Kluyveromyces lactis: one gene and its partner. The protein of the gene in region 1 interacts with the protein of each later gene in a pairwise test. Links are inferred from orthologs where the notes say so. Each region holds a gene or a part of one and is shown on either strand. Other genes may lie near its edges.

Region 1 (12,151 bases):
AGCTGTCAGAAAGATCAACTATTCCTATATTTTTGATTAACTGTATTTCAGAACCTAAAAGTAAACTTGTTCCATTGAATCCTTGAAGATTTAGGCGGACTATTTATACTTAATTCTAAACTTGTCACCATAAATAAACATCTTTTTTTTCCGCCTTTAAAACCAGCTGGAACCAAAACACATCATTCTTCCTTCAAGTGAGTCATAGTTGACTTGGATAGCCCACTGCACTAAGAATTATTCTAGCCTTTCACTTACTCTTTCATTTACCCCAAGGAATAATAAAATCTCGTAGGTAAGCAGTCTCTTCCAGCTGTGCGTTGTACTGTTCATAAAGATGACATTTCCCAAACTCACCATATTCATGAAAGGAAAGCTGATCCTTTGATATACAATTAGATGACGTACCCCGCGTAGTTTCTTGTTCTCTGTAAAGCAACATTAACAACCCAACCAAGATGTGTTTTCCTTAGCCGAAGTAGATCTTTTCATACCGCATTGAACGGCTGAGAATTCACTTTTCATTGGTTTCCTCTTTCGAGAAAATCAATACTTAGGAGCCTACCATTCAAATGTGTAAAATTTGCTTTCACTATTCGATGCAATATCAAAGCCACCCAAAGCTACGGCACATTTTCACATTTGCAATCCAAGGCATCTGGAAAGAAAGGCTACTGCCTTTCATGCTCATTATCATAGTTTCATTCTCACGTGTGAAATCATGACGGGGAAAATGACAGCCCCATCTTCTTGTTAAAACCAAGACAAAAATTATCATTTGAAATCTCGTACAGATTGGGATTTTGGAAAACCCTTTTTCATTTAACTTCAGAGAATATATAGGATGAGTAGAATCTTTTAACCTTACATTTTTTTATGATGAGGTACATATGCTAGATATTAGACAATATTGTTGTGAGTACTGCTAATCAATAAAATATCGATATTTCATTGAACCTTGACTTTACTGTATTGGATCAAGTGAGTTCTAATATCAGAAAAGGATTGTCAAAGGGAACGTATACCCACTTAATTCTTCGAATATAAACAGCGATGGCTAATACCGTGGGAGGTGTGCTTTCGGGGGTCAATCCTTTCATATATAACTCTGGTTCACCAATAACGTTTTTCCTTATTCAAGCAGCGTTAATTCTAGTACTTACGAATGTTTTGCATGTGTTTATTTCGAAACTTAGGCAACCGAAAGTTATCTCTGAGGTTATTGCAGGTATCATACTAGGGCCTACCGTGTTTGGACAGATCCCAAATTATCTCACAACCATTTTCCCTGCTGGCTCAGTGACTGGTTTGAACCTTGTAGCTAATTTGGGAATCATTTTGTTCATGTTTTTCTTGGGGATGGAAGTCGATATTAGCTTCGTGAAGAGAAATGCCAAGGCAGCTATCTCGATTGGATTGGCGACGTTAATTGTACCATTCGGGTTTGGGTGTTTGTTTGCATTACCCTTATATAATGCTTATATGGACGGACATGGTATTGAATTCAAAGTCTTTATGGTATTCATTGCCGTTTCTCTATCGATTACGGCTTTTCCAGTCTTGTGTCGTATTCTTACCGAGTTGAGATTGGTGAAAGAAAGAGTAGGTATCATTGTTTTGACTTCTGGTACCATCAATGACGTTGTAGGCTGGATTCTTCTAGCCTTGTGTATTATTCTTTCCAACTCTCAGTCAGACCCAGTGAATGTCGTGTACATTTTGTTATGCACTTTTGGCTGGTTCCTATTCTGTTGTTATCCAGTCAGACTTACATTGAAGTGGGGGTTCAATAGATTCCATGAATTTGAAAGGGATAGCCCTTCCACTTTTGCCACTCTATTGATTCTTGTGATTGTACTACTAAGTGCTTACTTTACAGATATTATTGGTGTTCATCCGATTTTTGGGGCTTTTATTGCAGGTATTATCGTTCCTAGAGAAAACAATTACGTGTCGAAATTAACGGCACGCATGGAAGATATACCCAACTTACTTATGATACCAATCTATTTCACTATTGCTGGTTTGAACGTTGATTTAACTCTTTTGAATAAAGGTTCTGATTGGGGATACATCTTTGCAAGTATTGGTATTGCCGTTGCAACGAAGGTTGTTTCTGGTGCTCTTTTATCTAAAATAAATGGATTATGCTGGAGAGAATCTTTGGCTGTTGGTGTCTTGATGTCATGTAAGGGTATTGTGGAAATTGTTGTCTTAACAACTGGTTTGAACGCTGGTATAATCACCAAGAAGGTTTATGCAATGTTCATTTTCATGGCACTTATTTCAACTTTTATAACCACCCCATTGACGTTGTGGATTTTCCCTGATCATTATCGTAATGAATTGAAAAGACAACGAACTGACGGTAGTACTTCAGAAATAGTACCCAACACGGTCGGCAAGACAAAGGACTTGAAACACATGCATTTCTCTACCGTTGAATTGGTGATTAATAATGCCAAAGCTGTTGCGTTGTCCTTATGGTTCATCAAAGCGTTTAGTTCTGGGCAGGAAGAATGGAAAGAAATGTTTACTTCTGATTCGGGAGATTTAGAGAAGAAACATTTGAAGAAAGTACTTTCGACAGATACAGAAGCACTAACAGTAGTTTCTGATGATGACGAATCCCCGTTATTGGTCAATGCTAGGAATTTGAAGTTGATGTCAGATAGAACTGCTGAAATTCTTGAACTGACCAGTTTATACAATAGCCTGACATCTGCAGATAATGGTCTTGAAATGTTACGTGTGTTCTCATCTTTGTTTGGATTGAAATTCAAGGGCGAGGTCATGTTCTCATCACTGGGAGAAAAGGTTGGCTATATTGGAAAGATTCCAGTTGCAAATAACACCACGCTCTTGATACCACTAAACTATCCTAACGGTGAACAAAGTGAGTCCATCTCAAGGATTTTGTCATTCAATGATTTACCTGAAGACTTCTTCAGTACGCTTTCTTCCAAAATATCTTCATCCCTCGTTCTTCTTTTCGGAACTGTTGTTCATCAACAACCCACATCAGTTCTTGTATATCTACTAAATTCAACTTTAACTGGTTCTGACTATATGGCCTTGTTCTTGGGATTAGTGATGGGATTACATGCCAAGACTATCAAAATTGTTACCGTTTCAGAGCATCTGGTTGCTCTTGGAGAACTGCAAGAGATTCTCAGATCCTCCATTCTGATAAAATTGGATATTACAACTATATCGACTAACGAAACTGATTCCGCAGTTGCGAGTGTTGATGTCTTCAATGACATCGAACTTAATAATAAGAGTTTGGTGGTATTACCACAAGATTCTATAAAGTCTACATGTTTAGACGATTATTCTAAAGTGCTTGTAACGAAAGCTTCTAAAAGTGGTTCTACGGTAGCCATCTGTCATAGGTGAACAACAACGAACCCTAAATGTTTAATGGTTCAGTAGTTCCCGATTACTACCCTGTTTATTCAATATTTCGTCTACTTATATAAGCATTTAATAACACCACTGAGCTGTGCTTTAGTATAGAGTTGGGCAATCCGTTATCAATTACCAGTAAATCCATGCATTAGAAACATTATATCTGTCCTGATTCTAGATTCTGGTTCCGAATCTGAGTTTCACAATTGAAAAAGGTGATTAACTCAAATTTGTATACAATAAGATAATATGACGCGACAGTATTATTATCACGTGCACATGCCAGCACTAAAAATGAAATATGTCGCACTGTCGCTGTAATTTTACCATAGTAAAGTTTTGTCTGAAAGCACAGCAAGTTTAAACGATCCCTGAATAAAAATACCCTGACACGTTTAGTTTCCACATCATTTTAAAGCGATATTTCATTTCAAGCTGGGGCTCTGATTGCTATTGTTTCCGGTATTGTTCTGTCGATAATAACGGGAAATGATTCACGAGTTTAAAAAAAAATTTCTCGTTGCCAGCCGTGAAGATAAAAAAAAAAAAAAAAAAAAAATTGAAAACACATACTCATTATCTGTGCGAATTAAATACAGTTTTTAAAGGCGTAACTAAGATACATATCCATTAAAGTTTCCACCTCAGAATACCACAGGTACGTGGTACAAATAAACTGTTATTATCGAAAAGCACCAACCTTTCTAAAGCTAGAACCTGGAATAAGAAGCAGATCGAAAGAGTGCTGTTTTTGTCATTCTTTGAGCGATATTGGCGGTTGAGAATTTTTTTTTGGTTCTTGCAAACCGCTCAAAATTAGGCTTTACAGAATTCCTAATAACATTACAGGAACCTGTGAATAATCTCATTACTAGTAAAATTCCAACCTCTGAACCGTATCAGGCTATTTTTGGAATTTCTAAGGTCGTTCATATCTGACTTTTTGTTCTCTCGCTTTTCCCTTAAAGAGACATAAGAACTGGTTATAGAATAAGCTATATTTAATCTAAAGTCTCGGTTAAACACTACAAGCGGAAAAAAATTAAAATGCTGAATGCCGAGCGCCGCCCTTCTATGGCGGAACGTCGTCCTTCCTTCTTTTCTCCCGGTCCTGACGGCTCCTTACAATCAACTTCCCTCGTTGTGCCACATTTGGCTGGTATCGAGGATCCTTTACCGGAAACTACACCGGAACAAGTGGATGTACTCATTGCTGGTACCGGGTTGATTGAAAGTATTCTATCTGCTTCTTTAGCATGGCAGGGATCCACCGTTTTGCATATAGATTCCAATAACTATTATGGGGACACATGGGCTACAATGACAATTGATCAGTTGAAGAATTGGACAAATCAAGTGAATGAAGACTCAGACGAAACACGGTTTTACAAAGATGCCAGACTCTATGTCTCCGGGTTGGTAGCTCAGGGGAAATTCAAATCCAAGAATTTTGGTATTGATTTAAGTCCCAAGATTCTATTTGCACAATCCGATCTACTCTCAGTTCTAATTAAATCAAGAGTACATCAGTATTTGGAGTTCCAATCGTTATCCAACTTCCATACCTTTGAGAATGATAACTTTGAAAGGTTAACGAACTCGAAACAAGAAATATTTACTGACCAAACTCTTCCATTGATGACGAAACGCAATTTAATGCGTTTCATTAAATTTGTGCTAGAATGGGAAAAAAGCACGGACATTTGGAAACCATACGCTGAACAGCCACTTGCTAGTTTCCTAGTCGATAAATTCAAGCTAGAAAAACCTCAAGTTTTTGAATTAATATTTTCAATTGGTATGTGTCGTAATCTGGATACTAAGACACCAGAAGGTTTAGCAAGGATCAGAAGATTTTTAACTAGTTTTGACGTTTACGGACCTTTCCCAGTCCTATATTCAAAGTATGGTGGGCCGGGAGAACTATCTCAAGGATTCTGCAGATCAGCAGCAGTGGCTGGTGCCACTTATAAACTCAATCATAAATTGGTATCATACGATCCGAACTCCCAGACTGCGGTTTTTGAAGACGGTTCAAGAGTAAGAGTCACAGAAAAGGTTGTCGCATCCCCTACCCAACATCCCCAGAATGGCGGTAACATTCCTCCCCAGAAGTACGAAGTGCATAGGCTCACTTGTGTTGTGGAAAAAGACTGCTCACAGTGGTTCAGTGAAGGAGAAAGTGCTGCTATGGTCGTGTTCCCACCTGATTCATTGAAGACAGGAAACGTTGAAGCCGTACAGGTGGTGATTTTAGGCTCAGGAGCCGAAGTTTGCGAACCAGGTACTTGCGTTTGGTACTTCTCAACCACTCAAGCCGGTCCTCGAGGTGATTTGGACCTTGATGCTGCACTTGAAGCAATGATCAATAGTATTTTAAGGGAGTCCTCGGATATACCCAATGAGGATGAACTTGTACAAATCAATTCAAATGGCGTTCCACTAGTCAACAGTGTAAAACTGGGACAGTCGTTCAAAGAACTCATTTCAAAAGAACGGGTAAACTTCATCATGAAATTGTACTATACTCAATACACATCCACTCCTCCATTTGATATTGTTACTCCAGACTTATTTGATTTGAATAAATCTAAAGAATTTATTCCTGGCGCATCAGATAATGGAATTCTTTATACTTCGTTGCCATCAGGAGAAGTGTCATATGATGAAGTTATTACTGCAGCAAAGTTCCTTTATGAAAAAATAGTAGGAAGTGATGACGATTTCTTCGACCTTGATTTTGAAAATGACGAACCAGATCTAAAAAATACCAATAAAACAATTAATAGCTACGATGAAAGTGCTATCGCAGATGATGAAGAAGATATTCAAATGATGGACTCAGAGCCAGTTGAATTTGCAGGCGAGATGGAAATATGACATAGCGTCAAGCTTCTTCAAGTTTTCAAGCGACAATGCTTTCAATTCCAATAGCATCAGTATTCCTTCTTTGACAGATTGATTGAAATAACCCGATGTGTCTAACCTTGTATTATATGGAATTATCTATCCACAAAAGAAAAAAGTGACATCTTCTAGATAAGATTTGCGTCACATAAGCATATTTTGGATCCAGCTGTATTTCTTACTGCGAATTGCACTCTTTGATATAAACATACCTTTATTCAACCCACTACCTGGGAATCTTAAAACGAAACGTTATTTAAGTTATCCATAGAAGGCAGATGCAGGAAAAATTCATACTTGTTTTCAGTTCCTGGAAATCAAAAATAGCAAAACCTTAATTAAGATTATACATGATATTAACCTAACTTCTCATACATAAAGTTAACAAAAGAATAGTGTTCGGCTTCTTAACTGCTCTTTGATTTAATTGTCATTCTCGAAAGCGAGGAAAAAACATTAAATTAAAGCTCAGAGGCGGCTTCTTATCTCCAGTAATGATTCTAATTGTTTCCCAGCTTGGTCGAAGTTATTTTTCGACAACCAGTTCTTAAAGGCAGTCCGAGCAACTGCCCATTCTTCGTCAATGATGGAAAACCAGCATGTGTCTCGAGTTCTTTGTTTGTAAATCATTGCATTTCGGAACGTACCCTCAAATTTAAATCCAAGTCTTTGAGCTGCGTTACCCGATGGTTTGTTTAAACTGTCACATTTCCACTCATATCTTCGATACCCTAAATCTTCGAAAACATAGTTCATTAGCAGATAGTGGGCTTCTGTGGATATCAACGTCCTTTGCATATCTTTTGAAAAGAGGACGAATCCTACTTCAATGACCCCATTATTGATGTCCGTCCTAATCAATGAAAACGTCCCAACAGCTTTTCCAGTCTTCTTGTTAATGATTGCGTAAGTCTTGGAAAGTGGTAGTTTGGCAAGACCTTCGAGATAACCTTTCAATTCACTGAACGTGCGACGGGGTTCAGAGGGAAGGTACGTCCAAATAGAGTCCGGAGAAGCATTATAAGCTTTAAAAAGATCCTCTGCATGTTTGTTAACATCAAGAGATTCGACTAGACAATGTTCACCATGGACCACAATATCCTCAGGAAGTTTTCTTACAGTCCAATCGTATATTGGTTTACCAACAGGCTGTTCAAATTGATTTAGTAGAACAGACATTGACAACTGACTATCTTCGACCCTTGTAAATGTCTTTCTAAGGTTAAAATAACTGTGTCTTCCTGTTTGTTGGTGTTAGAGTAGTATGACTAAATCCTTCGAGAATACTCTTCCTTTTAATTGAGAAGCAAAATGAATTTCCATTAGAGATTTGCGCAAGGCTCTGACATAACCTGATGATTGACCCGGTTTAATTGGTTTATATTCCTGATCAAGAGCAATAAATTACATGGACAAAGATGCCAATCCTCTCAGTGGAATAAAGTGCTTGTCATTGAGCAACCTCATCAAAGCATAAAGGAAATCGTTAATTAACCTAAAGGAACTGAGAAAAAAAGACACCAGCTAGTAAGTAACATTGTATAATATGTATAAAAACGTAGTGCATACAACCAATACGGACCAAAATGATATCCGACCCACGCTTTCAGTATGATAATGTTCTCTTTGTGGATGATGATGATACTTCGGAAACAGTCATTTTCAATATACGATCTTGGTACCTGACTCTTGTAGGTATACTTGTGAAATATGGTAGCCAATCGATCAGTGATGCGACTACGATGCTCGACAATTCATGGCTAATCAAGGGTTTCTGCTGTGAAACATACAAGCAGGTGTGTTTGTACAGTCATGAATACGAGTATTATTGGGCCATGCTTGTTTTGCATGGGGATTTGTTCTGGCGCAGGGGAATTAGTGGCGACTTGCCAACAGGATATGATCAGTGGGAGCAAGAATACATACGCGCTAACGGCCTTGCGGAATCAATATTTGAATTCAGTTAAGGCGTTTTCTCTATATAGATTGAGGGTAATACCCTCCTGCACATTTAGAGAATTGACATCGGAAGCTTGCTATCCGCATCGTTAGGGTACCTTCTTGTTCTTTGTTCTATTACAGAAGTTGAGAGAAGTTGAAGAAAGAAAAAATAAACTAGAGACTTAAGACTAAAAGATTAAAGAATCTCGTTTGAGTATTCTGGACATTATAAAAGATAGAGGGACAGGAGAAGAAGTAAGGAAGTAAGGTACTGGCATTTATAGAAAAATAGCTACCTCAATTAGATCCCTCATTCAGCAAAAAATTGCCCAACGATTTTGTGCTCGTCTATAATGAATGGTTTTGATATAGATAATAGTATGAAACAGTCCCAATTGGAAATGCCATATCCAAATGAGGGCGAAGGCGGGCAGCACCAAAATACCCATGAGTTTGCAACATCTTACGATGCTGAAGAGGATCCCAACGATGTTGACAACCATTCGATTAGTACCCATTTTTCATACCATGATGGGAAATCGTTATTGGAGCAAGGGATCAAAAAGTTAGCACTAGATCACTTGCACAGCAACAATGCTAGCGTCGACTCGAATCTCGGTATGAAATCACAATTTCCTTCGTATTTTGGTAATTCGCCATTGGACGCAGCTGCTTCAGTCGCTGCAGCCGGAATACCTCGCCATGAACGAAGACTTTCACTATCTGCACAACAAGCGGAACCAGAGGTATTGATATCTAGTCCAATGTCCCAAAAGCCATCATCATCATCATCTGCTCAGATCTTAGATGTAGAACGGATCAAATCAGCTCAATATAAGATGGGCCTAATTGCTGATGATGGTCAGCATTCCTACGATTCACCCTCTCTTGAATTGGTAGAGTTGTATTCAAGTGTCAGCGATTGCAGGGAACTGAGAGAGAAGTACCAAACCTTGTCATTACAAAAACACCATCAAAACCCGAAGAACAGACCTGATTGGAAAATTTATCCACCACCGCCAAAACCTTCCTATAATGCAGCAAATAAAACTGTTGTGAAGGTCAGTAATTTGCCAGACTCAAAATCTTTTGACATTAATGAATGCGAAATTCCTGGCTTAGATGAAGATGTGGACTTCAGACTCAATAGCGATGAAGTTTATGTTTTATATGATACTAAAACTGAGGACAAAAAACAGGCTGGAAACGTCTTTCCAACACTACGTGAATATTATATTGACATGGAAAAGATCATTTCTGTCTCCTCTGATGGTCCAGCAAAATCATTTGCTTTCAGAAGATTGCAATACCTTGAAGCTCGTTGGAATTTGTATTCGCTTCTAAACGAATATCATGAAACTGCTGTATCAAAAAAGAACCCTCATAGAGATTTCTACAATGTCAGAAAAGTAGATACTCACGTTCACCATTCGGCATGTATGAATCAAAAGCATTTGCTTCGTTTCATAAAGCATAAATTGCGCCATTCGAAAGATGAAAAGGTCATTTTTAGAGATGAAAAAATCTTGACATTAGAAGAGGTCTTCCAATCGTTGAAACTGTCAGGGTATGACCTTTCTATCGATACTTTGGATATGCATGCACACAAGGATACATTTCATAGGTTTGACAAATTCAATTTGAAATATAATCCTATTGGGGAATCTCGTTTACGTGAGATATTCCTAAAAACCGACAATTATATCGATGGTAAGTATCTCGCTGAAATAACAACGGAAGTCATTTCAGATTTGGAAAATTCAAAATATCAGAACTGCGAGTACAGAATCTCTATCTACGGAAGATCTCCTGACGAGTGGGATAAATTGGCTGCTTGGGTGGTTGATAACAAGCTTATCTCTCACAATGTGAGATGGTTGATCCAAATCCCAAGATTATATGATGTTTATAAGAAAACGGGAATTGTCGAGAACTTTTTTGATATCTGTAAAAGCATTTTTTTGCCATTATTTGAGGTAACACAAAATCCACAATCCCACCCTAAGCTACACATTTTCCTACAACGCGTTGTAGGTTTTGATAGTGTTGATGATGAATCTAAAGTGGATAGGCGCTTCCAGAAAAAATATCCAAAACCAACTCTTTGGGATTCAACTCAAAATCCACCATATTCGTACCAACTATACTACTTGTACGCGAACATTGCATCTTTGAACTGGTGGAGAGCAAAGCGTGGTTTCAATACGTTAGTCTTAAGACCACATTGTGGTGAGGCAGGAGATCCTGAACATTTAATTTCAGCTTACTTGTTAGCTCAAGGAATTAATCATGGTATACTCTTGAGAAAGATTCCATTCGTACAATATTTATTCTATTTGGATCAAATTGGGATTGCTATGTCCCCATTATCAAATAACGCGTTGTTCTTGACGTACGATAAGAACCCATTCCAATACTATTTCAAAAGAGGTCTCAATGTTTCGCTTTCAACTGATGATCCATTGCAATTTTCTTACACTAGAGAACCTTTAATTGAAGAGTATTCTGTTGCTGCACAAATATACAAATTGTCCAACGTTGATATGTGTGAACTTGCCAAAAACTCTGTTATGCAGAGTGGTTGGGAAGCTCAAATTAAAAGGCACTGGATCGGTAAACACTTTGAAAAAGAAGGTATCGAAGGGAATGATCTTGAAAAAACCAATGTTCCAGATATAAGAGTCAATTATAGATATGAAACTTTGAAAACTGAACTTGAACTTGTCAAACATTTTTCCAGTTTCGCAAGTCTTTCAGCCTCGAAATGATTGTATATACCCTTTAAATAGTACTAAGTTCTTTTTCGTGTAGGCATATTTAATCTTTGAAATCGAGTATTCATCAGTGTTAGCATTATGGAAATACATAAAAGTTAGACGTATGCAGGAATGGATTGATAAGCATTGATTCTATATGTCTATACTACCAATCTTGTTACATACTCTTTTCGTTCTATCTTATCGATCATATACTTCTGAAATTTCTCGCTCATCACTTCGTTACAGTCTCCAATTAGATCATAGTAATTAGCTGAAGATTTACCATAACTTTGTTTGTGTGTTAAAATGGAAGGTATAAACCAGGAAAGATAATTGGGGCCTAAAAACTCTTTTAAGTTAGTTAAAATATTGCCCTTATTCCAGAAATCTTGGTTTTCTCCCGGGCAGAACTGGATCACATACCTGTAGCCATCACAAGGGTTATAAATGCAGAAAAATTTTCTTGAAGCCTTAGCCTTGTTATTGACTTCAATAATTTCAATTGAGGTCCTATTATAACACATATAATAAATGTGTGTTAAGAAAAGTGGACCTGCCATTAATAGGGCACAGCATGCCAATGCAAATACAGCATACACATTTCCATTTGCAGACCCCTTCATCTGCCTCATCTGAGTTGCAATTGAGATCATTAGTATTAGAACAACGAGGTCAAGGTAAAATGTGAACTGTACGAATAGTTTATAATTGAGTCTACCAAGGACAGTACCAATCCAAACACAGTAATGGTCAAATCTTGGAACACAATATCCGACTTTAGTAGAGTGATGAGTCCGTGACATTTTCAAACTCTGGCAATTGGAACACCATATTGGGTACCCTCGTTCATCACAGGGATATATATCAGGAGGAGCAATACTATTGTCAGGAACGGCTGATTCACTGGATACAGTCCTAATTTCAGAATCAGGTATTATTTTAAAAGGAGGTATAGTCGGCTGTCTTCCTGGACCAAGAACTAGCATCAATGCCCATATGTACCAAATGAGAAACGTTAATGACAGAACCACAATGATAAGCCCGATGCATGCGCCCTTAGCATTTCGTCTTTGATATAGTTGCAGATAACAAAATTGGTGGCAGAATGCCCATACACCATAGCACTGAAGTAA
Region 2 (10,696 bases), on another chromosome or scaffold:
ATCATCTCTTTTCAGTCCCAACGCTAACAGTATTTTCATAAGACTCAGCTTGGCTTGCAAAATTAACACGCGTACTATAGGATATTTGGAAATGTCGCTATATCATAGCCTAGTATTTGCTATCTTAGTCGTGGAATTGATTACATTGACTTTGTTAGGTCTTCCACTTCCCTCGAAGTTTAAGAAACCTGTCATCTCTGCCCTTTCGAAACCTTTCTTTTCTCCTACGGTTCAGATAACAATCAAATGCTTACTAGCATTCATTCTATTACTTTTCGTTGATTCTATAAATAAAGTCTACAGCGTAGAGGGCGAATTGGATAAGCTAAAGGAAGTAGGTACAGGTACTCATCCTCAAGGAAGAATGGAGATTTTATCAAGAAAGTTCTTCTGGCAGAGGAACATGTACTTAACGGGCATTACTTTGTTCTTAACATTTGTATTGAGCCGTACCGTTAACCTTGTCTGGGAGTTATTCGAGCTAAAAGAGGATTATCATTTGATCTTGAAATCGGAGGAAGATAAACTGGCTCCTCAACAAAAGGCATTAGAAAAAGAAATTGAATCTGTAGATGAGGAAATTACAAGATTGAAGGAGCAGGCCTCTGCTTTACAGAAAGAGATGGAGTAAAACCAGGGAATGGGATATGACCTTTTATGACCTTACGTCTATATGTATATATATATATAAGTAAGCGAAAAATATTTACATGTCTATGATTCAATGAACGTTGAAGACCAAACTTTCAGGATAGACGCCGCACGTTCTGACGAATATTTCACGTTCTTAGTTAGTTGCAAATGAATTACTTTTATGTTTTGGAGTGAAAACGAATTCATCGTTCACTTTACCAAAGAACATTTCGGATAATTTGAGCCAGTCGTTAGAGTCAGTGGAGCCTAACAATGTTTCTAGATCATCACGGCCTTTCCAATTTGGTGGTCTTTCGTTTAGTAGAACGGGGTATCTTTCACAAATACCCATTGGAACATATCTGTGGAAGAATGACATAAATTCACAGAAGAATCTACGACATTGAGAGATACCATACTGGTCAGTACCCCAATGATCCATTGCAAATTTACAATAGTCTTTCAAAATTTCCAATCTTTCCTTAGAACTTTTATCCATGTATTGCTGGGCATCGACTTCTTCGAAGATCCATGGCTTAATTAGTGCACCACGAGCAACCATCACACTATCCATGTTTTTATTTTCAAGATGTTTGTACCAATCTTCCCAGTTGTTACAATCACCGTTACCAACAAATTGAATCTTCTGGCCATCTCTTAGATTCTTGTTCTCTTGTCTTTCTGCTTCGTATGTCCTTACCGCATTAGCTACCTCTCCGACATAGTCCCAATCGGCAGATTTAGTGTATCTTTGTTGTCTGGTTCTACCATGCAAAGTGATAGCTGCAACGTCCGTTTCAAGCACTAATCTCTTAGTGATAGATAATGCAATTGGATGGCCTTCTCTAGTACCAGTACGGATCTTCACGGTGACAGGTATGTCGTTCGAAACATAGTTCATACCATTCAAACAACGGATCATTCTGGCAGGATTATCTAGTAATGCGCTTCCGCTACCTTGTCTGTATAAAAGATCAATCGGGCAACCACTGTTTAGATTTATTTCGCTAACTCCAGTGACGTTAGCAGCAAGTGCTTCTGCAGCCTTTGCAGCTTGCCAAGTTTTTGAACATGCAATTTGAACACCAAACCCAGGAAACTCTGAGCAATGGGCCTTCGGTAGTGCCCATTCTGAATTTGTACCTTGAATCAAGGGAACAGCCAAAGCCATTTCAGAATAAGTCACGTCTGCTCCTAATTTCCGCATTAGACGACGGTAAGGCAAGTTACCGACGGTAGTCAAGGGAGAGACGATCTTCTTATGATGCAAATCTAGCTTTCTCTTCTCCTGTGCGAAAAACCTGGTATCGTGATATTTCAAATACAGTTCACGTTGTCTTTCTCTTTTCTCCGTTAGTTGGTTTTGTTTTTCAGTTGCTTGAAATGAGACCTTTTCATCATTAGCGTCTTCACCAGCATTAGCATCTGTAGTTGTTTCAGAACCCTTTGAAGTGTTCATTAAATCTCTATTCTCTTGTTGCATGGCATCAATAATCTCTAATATATAATCGCTCTTCGTGAATGAGAATCTTCTCTTAATTAGATCATACTTCCTTTCACCGTCTATGTGATTGATCTCATGGTTAGCCTCATAAAGCTTTTTCCTCTCATCCACCTCGTACAGATCTTTTAATTCCAGAGTCTCCATATTACAATGCGAGGAAAGGAAACAACATTTGTAACCCATGGGACAATGTCCCAAAGATTGCCAAACTGGACATATGGGGAAAAACTCGGTTTTAATCTCAGGGGCTTTCTTAGACAAGTACTCTCTCACATCATGCACGTACCTACACTTAGTATCAAAAGAACAGGTAGCATCGACGTTAGTGACAAATTTCGAACAAAGAGCGTGCTGTTCTCTCACTTGTCTGTTATCACGGTTCTTGTTTTGACCTCTTTTCTTCTTACTGTTTTGTTTCTTACCCTTTATTTGATTTGCCGGTTGAGATTCAAGACGAGAAGACGTGGACTCTTCTTCGTCGTTATACTCGCCTGCCATAGGCCTGGAACTACCATTTTGATCATTGAACAAGATAAATTCTGGTTTCAAATGAGCGATACCTTTGGAAGTGGCAGTATCCGTTTTCTTAGCCGACGGCTGTTCATCTGAACTAGCTGGTCTCTTGACCTGTGGTTGACTTGGATCCATATCAGGTATACCAGGGGTTATTGATTGCACTAGCGAAGTGGATGCTTTGAATTACTTATCTCTATCGATTCATCTCATCTTGTCGATGAGATAGGCCTGTAAATATTGTGCATAAATTTCATCGCTTTTTTTTTTGTCAATTTTCACGTAGAATGATGGAAACAGCTCACCAGTGATGCGATGGGAATTACATAAACTGTATAAATTCGATCGCTACTGGCATGAATCTCTTTTGACACATTGAAAAAAGCATTCATAGCAAACAATGACGATTCACGTGACGCGTCGCCCGTCACGTGAATCGTCATTGTTGGCCTCAATAAAGTCCGGGTAAACAGGGACTGGCCTAAGGCCTCTGTCCTGTCTTTCCTTGCTCCCACTACCAAAGAAAGGATCTAATTTTCCCCCCTAGAAACCGTAGCATGGGAAAAAGGGTCAAGACAGGAGGCCAGAAACTCGGAATTTATCTCAACACTGTCCGTGCAGAGTGATTTTATATCACTTTGTACGTACAACAGTCCGTTCCCCTTCCTCTTCTCTATGCCTGCCCCCTCTCCGAAAAAGGAATAAGACCAGTACTGCTACGCCTGTTTCTGACCCCAGCAGCTGACTTCAATAGAAGAACCCGCTGCACGGATTCCAAAAGTCGTTCAAAACTATAATTGAACACTGCGGATATATGTAATTGGGTTTGATATTGTGATATTGTGATATATATATGTGAAAGTGGAATATAGAGAATAATGTATGGTGATGATTTGATATGAAATCTTGAGACAAGTAGGATCAGGAAAGAAGTCGATAAGTTCGGTCGGATATTATACGGTCTCAGGCGTTTGATTTATCCAGCTAGGCACGGCAGAGAACGCTATCGGGTCGGAACACAGACGATCATTCTGGGGACAGGACAGGTCTGTTATAATATTTCATTTTCTCGGTCAGAAAGTTGAATTTAGATTTCAAGATACGGTGAGAGAATTCGGTATAATATAGAAGTTTCATCGGCTCATCTGTAGTATAAAGCTGGGAGAAATAGGATAAGGATTGGTAACGCAACTGTGTGGAATCTTTCTTAAAGGTTTTTTATACTATTCTCTTTTTTTTTCCTGAAGGCTACGTAGTCTAGTTTTAATTTTACTCTCTTTTTCCTTGTACGGAACAGCGAGATGGAAACGACTGCTACAACAACTGCTCCGGCCAGTAATACTACTGGTTCAGGACCAGGGATATTTATTAGTGAGAGTATGGTGGATAACAGTGGAAGTGCGGGTTCTAATGGGAATACGCATCAGATGGCTAAGTTAAGAAGAGACTCTATTGCTCATTCTCAGGGAATAGGTGGTGTTTCATGGGGGTCGCTTACGATCAGTTCGTGGCTACGAGATGAAGTTATGATCCATGCTCAGTCGTACGGAAAGGATCATGGATCTCTTTCTATAAATGGCCACATCAACGTTAATGGGAACAGCAGCGGCCATGGTAGAGCATATCCGATCAACGTACAAAATTCGAATGACTTCTTGGGAAAACATGGTAATGGGAATGTTGGTGGTGGTAAGAGCCCCTTGGACCTTACAAAATTTGCCTCTCCTCCTGGTTCATCAGGTGCTTATTTGCCCAATCTTGAGAAACAATACTGCAAGGATTATAGCTGCTGTGGCCAACTGCTTCCTAGTTTGCACGACCTCTTAAGGCATTATGAAGAAGCTCATATTGCCACTTCTCCAGGAAGCCATAGCAACGGTCTCCCCTCTCACCATAACAACCATGGCCATGTTCATCACCCTATGAACCCAAATATGGTCGGAGTCAATATGAACTTCAATCTGCAATCAGCTGCTCATGCCTCTTCAAATAACGGTAACCATCATTCTCAATCTAATAACACCAGCTCTGCAGCCATGTCAAACGCAAATTCCAGCCATTCTAATTCGCATTTGCATTCTCATCTAAATCAGCACGCCAGTGGTTCGCTAGCGTCAAATAACATGCATGGCCAACTGAGAAGTGGACCAGACCATCATAATCATGCCATGCAACAGGAACATCTGTCTTCTAACGGTGTAAATTATCAGCAGCGGAAGGCTATATTATCGCAGCAACGGATGCAGCAGCAACATCAAAGTAATAATAATACCAATAACATTAATGATAACAATAACAATAACGGCAACAATAACAACACTATAAACGGGTCTCAGCACCCAAGAAAGTCTGATCACCGTCTACTTCAATCGGGAAGTGGTTTAACTGGATCTGGTCAATCTCAAAGCAAAGTACCGCGGGGCTCACAGATTAATACCTCGTCATCCAGTTCAAACCTGACTTCTTTGTCTCAGTCTGGCCAATCATCCGCTTCCACTAATCAACTGCATTTGAATGGGGGTTTCGTGGATGCAGTTTCGACAAATGAAGTGTTTCTACAATCGAAACATTCCCAGCCATCATCATCTAGAAATGTTTCTAATTTCAACTCATACTCTACGAAATCTCATCAAACAATGGTCCAGCCAGCTAGCAAGCGGTCTTTACCTTTGGGATCTGGTTTGGATCTTGATTACATGGAAGCGGGGGTTATTTCTGGATTAAACGATAGTTCTCTTGGAGGGGTCATGGGCTTTGGTTCGATTGATCCTCTTTCGCACAACGTCCCGCTAACAAATACTAATCAACTAGGACTCTCAAAAAAATCCAAGAAGTTGACTAATTCCCACATGAAAATGAAGGGTATTGGAAGGCAGGATAGTGACTCAGGTTTGCTTGGAGATCATGAATCCGGGGTAGTTATTGGTGAAGATGATGATGATGACGATGAAGTTGTCGATGAAGATGAAGATGATGAAGATGATCATGATGATGAAGATAACGTTTTGTCCAGTAGAAAACAACAGGGTTACATTGATGATCCAGCTAGAAGACTTTACGTGATGGATCACGAGGAGCATAAACCGTTCAAATGTCCAGTGATAGGATGTGACAAGACGTACAAGAATCAAAATGGTTTGAAGTATCACAAACTGCATGGTCATCAGAACCAAAAATTACATGAAAACCCAGATGGCACTTTCAGCATAATAGATCCAGAATCTAATGAACCTTATCCTGATGGAATGGGTATGGAAAATGACAAACCTTACCGCTGTGAAGTCTGTGGAAAGAGATATAAGAATTTGAATGGTCTTAAATATCATAGAGGGCATAGCACACATTGATCGAAGAGCATCGGCATTGTTTCTTTCTAATTATGTGTCATTCCAATGCCTATGTTTGTGCTTTATGGCCTCTTATCTAATTCTGTCAGCATGTGTAACCAGATAATTGTTCTCGTCTTCATGTTTTTTGTTTCTCCGTTCGATTTTCTTAGGTTGCTTCCTTTTTTGAATAATATGATCCTTTGATTTAAAGGCCGTTGTAAATCCCCTTCATCTTCATTTTCATTTTCATTTTGTTTTATTCCGTCTTATTACATACAAGTATACATCATCAAAAGGTATTCCTTACTTTCTGTTGTATTCTATCGTTATAAGCTGCAGTCCGTTAAAACTCAGTGGACTTCATACCTCTATATATTTATCTGTCGTTTTGTATACTAAATAGGATTCTGGAGCGTTGGAAAAATCAAGATTATATTTAAAGCTTTCGCTAGTATTTTAAGGTAAAGAATATATGTAAGCATGAAGTGAACAGCTGCCGTTGCAAAACAAAGAAGTTGAAAAGCGTCACTCCCCGATAGCAAGCTATAAATTAATGAAGATAAACGTATCCATTCCACTTCAGGCAGCAAGATGGTTTTCTTATTTGCTTATACTTATATGCATTGAGATTATCTTCATTTTACCATTATCGAATCTTTTATGGATAGATTTTATCAATAGGTTGATTCCAAACAACAGAATGCATGTTATACCTTTGAGCAACATGGCTAATTCTTGGACAGTTCCATTTGATTTGCGGGTCATTGCCAATGTTACATCAACTAAAGAGAATGAAATACGATCAGACATACCTTTAGATGTTACCTTAAATTTGGGGATTTATTGTACTTCTCACCGACCAATTGAGGCCGTGACTTTATCAATAGATGACAATCCCAGAAAGTTACCTCTTGTATGTTTTGATAACTTGAATTTTCTCTCTTCAAGATTCAATGGGTTCGATTCAGTGTCAAAAACTGTCAAGAAAGATGTCATCAATGACTTTAAGTTTGGATTTCCTGTAAATCCTGATAACAAGAGGATCAGGATAGATTTAAAGGACTATACTGAGGACTACCTTTTAAGTTACATCAATGTCCAATTTTCAGTGAAATATACCGGATTCCGAAAGTTTTTACTAAGCTGGAGAAGAACTTGTCATCTATTGGGCACTTTATTATTTGCTAGTTTGATTTCTAGTTGCTTCCTATTATCTTTTACTGGTGTCTTCAGCTATATTGTAATGGCATAAAACAGACACTCAAGTAGTTTTATTCTAACTCACATCTCATCCTGATGTTAAACAGTCATACTCTGTTGAATTGTTGTATTTGGAAAAATGCGAATTTTTAATGATAATAGAGTTTCTATTGACTTTGATTGTTCAAATGACTTGATGCATTAAAAAAGTAAAATTAGGAAAGTACGAAACACATATATACAAAAGTTTCTACTTATAATTTGATATTGCTAGTAGGCCCTTGTTCAAAGAATGGTTTTGGTAAAAACCAGGGTCTAACTCCATGTAAATAAGGTTGTTTCCGTTAACCTTCTCAAACTCGACAAATTCCTTCATAGTAAGATTGAAAGTGTATATTACTTTTATCAACTTGGTCAGTCTAGTGATCAATTTCATCCTTTCAACAGCCGTAACAGGGTTATAGTCTTGCTGGTTGATTATTTTTTCATCCATGATATCAGACGATCCCGTGAATGTGTCACCTTCGAAAAGCTGATTGAGTTCTATTTGTGGGATCGTATTTTCTTTCTCCTTCGAGATTTCGTTGTCGTAAACCTTGGTCACAGAGTCCTCAACAAGATTCAACTGCTGAAGTTCCTCAATGGTAGGTGCTAGAGAGTCAAAATCAAATCCATCTAGCAGTGTGTCATTTGCGATGCCGAATGGATTCGGTAAAGGTTTATCATAGGGTTTGGTGCTTTTAACTCCCCACTTCTTATTGAAATCTTGGATTTTATCCAGTAAGTTCTTCCTTTGTATGGCCTGAGAGTTCACCGTTACAGTTTTGAACACATATCTGATGGGTTGCTTCTGTACGATATCTTTGCTAAATTTTGACTCAGGTGGGGCCATAAGCTTCCGTTTCTTAGTAGTTTCGGTGTCTGAATTGTTTATGATATGAGATCGGGATTGCTGTGACAGTTTGTACAAAAGGTCCTCCGAAGATTCTGATCTTGATGAGGTCGATGCAACAGATGATACGGTGCTATACATAGATATCATCTCTTGAGTATCAAAGGTATCTGTTGTGCTACCTGAAGCTACACTATCCCTCCTTTTGCTTGCCGATGATGGCTTTGGAGGTAGTTCTGGTTTACTTTTCGAAAAACTAGACAACAGAGCCCCAAAGCCAAATTTGGGTCCACTTTCCTGCTTCAAGTTTTCACTTTCTGCAGTGTCATTGCTGTGGAGACTTGATGTGCTGGAAGAGCTATCGTTTCTTATTGATCCATTCTCTCTTTTATTTTTGTTTTTTTGAGCGATCATTATAGCTGCTCTGCTTACTAGCTCATCAGACACGTCAAAGGGATATTTCCCTCTATGAATAACAACACCCGGCCGGATATTGGTCATCCGTGACATATTATTGAACAATGCGGTGTTGTTGACATTTTTGTTATTTGCTTCTGCATGCATACACTGGCTTACGAGTAGGAGGTCTTCTTCATACAATGGTTCTTGACGCTCTAGTATTAACCTATTATTGGTATGGAAAAATAATACCGTTTTCTCATCAACTAATTCAGTGTAGTCACAGTTCAAAACGTTAATAATTTGCCAAACCTCTTTATTTATGGCATAGAATTTATGTTTGATGGCATGAATCTGATCCGTTGAAAGATCTTTATCCGGGAGTATTTTGAACACGAGTAATTTATGAAAAAGAATGCTTATGATGTGGAAGTCAGTATCAACAGACAGTAGATTCCATAACTCGTCGATAATAGTAGTAACCACCCGTTTACGATGAGTGACAGGGATGACACTCCACACATTGAAGAGACACAACAAACCGACTAATTGAGAATCAACATTGAAAGTTTTCAAGGTTCCAAAAATACCATCAGTCCAATCATTCCATGACATAACTTCGATAAATTTGGGGAGTGTGTCAAAATGGAATGTATAAAACTGAAATATTATATTGAATATAATATTAGCCATCCATGAATCATAAGCTGATATAACGGAAGACGCGTTTAAAAACTGCTTTTCTTGGTATGAAAAGAAGCTTATTAATAAACTTTTATCCATAGAAGTGTTATGAAAGAACCCTATTAAGGATCTGATGCATTCTATGATTCTGACAACTTGAAACTTGGTGAAGATAAAATTGATGATCTTCTCTCGACCAACATTAATTTGGTTGGGATTCGAAGTTGTTGCATTTTTCAGAAGTGCAGCCTCATGCTTGTCTTGTTTGTCTTGGATCTTGATGAACCTTGAAAGCCTTTCTAAGTCTGCCTTCAAAGAATTTGAGCAAATATGAGAAATTATAGGACAACCGGGGAAATTCTCTGGTTCCAATTTTTTTAGCCCTGACTCATGATGTATATTAAGTATAATGTACCAATAATGAAACAAGAAGGTGGTAAGAACCTGAGGATTCTGTAGGTATGAGATCATGATGGGGAAAGCTTTTTTTGTTTCTTGTGTCATAACATCACCATATTCAGTATTACCAAACTCTTCTATGATGTCCTGTGTATACTTAGATTGAGGTACACCTTCATCAAGAATAGCAAATTGCTTACTTCTGCAAGGTAGTAAACTCACTCCTTCTATATTTTTTATGTCAAATCTTCCTCTGGAAATGAACTTCACAACTTCGAAGTCATAGTGTAGTTCATCATTCAAATAGCATAATGCAAATGCAATGATTTTACCTATTAACGGTGTTAATAGTGCAGTATAACGTTTTAGAAACTGTAGAATGGTAGACTCAGTATTGGTGTTTGCCATTTGAGCAGCTGTATTTCTTACCTCTAAAAGGTCCGCCCTTTTTCTAGAGTTTAAAACCAACCTGTTGGTCACCCATCGTACAGTTAAAAGTAAGTGGTACGAATAAATTTCACGGTCTTTGTCAGTGGAGGTAGTGGTTAGTGCAGTAAGTGTAATAATTCTGCTGATACATTCGAGTGAAACTGAGATTGCATCTATTGTAAGAGGCGTATTAGTGGTTTCTGATATAAGATCTGAGTTTAAGAAATTGAGTAAAGTTAACCACCACTGAGTCAGTACATCTTGTTTAGGCCTGTTACGTAGTTCTTCTTCTGAGGATACTTCAATAAGTGGTTCCAGTTTACGTAATAGCGATAATAAATTCAATCGGAGGAAATTCGTCACCACTTTCAATTGTGACACAGACAACCCATGGTCAGGTCCGTGACCAATAGAACCCGAAGAGGCTGTGAGGTTAATGAATTTATTCAAAGAATTCAAAAGATGCATATCTTGCCTGCCAGTATCCATGTTAAATCTGTCTGTTCTTGATTTCTTTTACTGTTGGTTCTCAAAGTGTTCTATCTCAATTAATTGGTAACTTTCTTAGGTTACTGGCTGAAAGGTCGTTCAAAAGAGGATTTTATAACTCTAACCGCATGTACGAAACCTTTCCCCAAGCACGTAAGGCAACTATCGAACGAATAAAATGTTTTCTGAGATCTAAATTTGGGTCAGAACTGGAGAATCTACTTT

The links. The genes of interacting proteins can lie anywhere in the genome.
Region 2: the proteins of MRS6 (region 1) and SFP1 interact in binary tests that used the Saccharomyces cerevisiae proteins (3 or more experiments, as listed by UniProt). The link is inferred for Kluyveromyces lactis from reciprocal best matches to the Saccharomyces cerevisiae genes MRS6 and SFP1.

What each region holds. Positions count from the first base shown.
Region 1 is NC_006040.1:527,780-539,930, reverse strand, and holds MRS6 (GTPase-activating protein MRS6), read left to right. Parts: upstream 1-4,458; coding exon 4,459-6,291; downstream 6,292-12,151. Other genes in the region: KHA1 (Kha1p), read left to right, coding at 1,054-3,399; KLLA0_D06215g (uncharacterized protein), read right to left, coding at 6,787-7,497; KLLA0_D06193g (uncharacterized protein), read left to right, coding at 7,905-8,285; KLLA0_D06171g (uncharacterized protein), read left to right, coding at 8,613-11,027; palmitoyltransferase PFA5, read right to left, coding at 11,177-12,151. UniProt on the Saccharomyces cerevisiae protein: Substrate-binding subunit (component A) of the Rab geranylgeranyltransferase (GGTase) complex. Binds unprenylated Rab proteins and presents the substrate peptide to the catalytic component B.
Region 2 is NC_006038.1:270,599-281,294, reverse strand, and holds SFP1 (zinc-coordinating transcription factor SFP1), read left to right. Parts: upstream 1-3,951; coding exon 3,952-5,997; downstream 5,998-10,696. Other genes in the region: YET3 (Yet3p), read left to right, coding at 1-631; tRNA dihydrouridine synthase DUS3, read right to left, coding at 788-2,785; SEI1 (seipin), read left to right, coding at 6,533-7,231; AHK1 (Ahk1p), read right to left, coding at 7,430-10,471. UniProt on the Saccharomyces cerevisiae protein: Transcription factor that regulates ribosomal protein (RP) and ribosome biogenesis (Ribi) gene expression in response to nutrients and stress. Promotes RP gene expression under optimal growth conditions.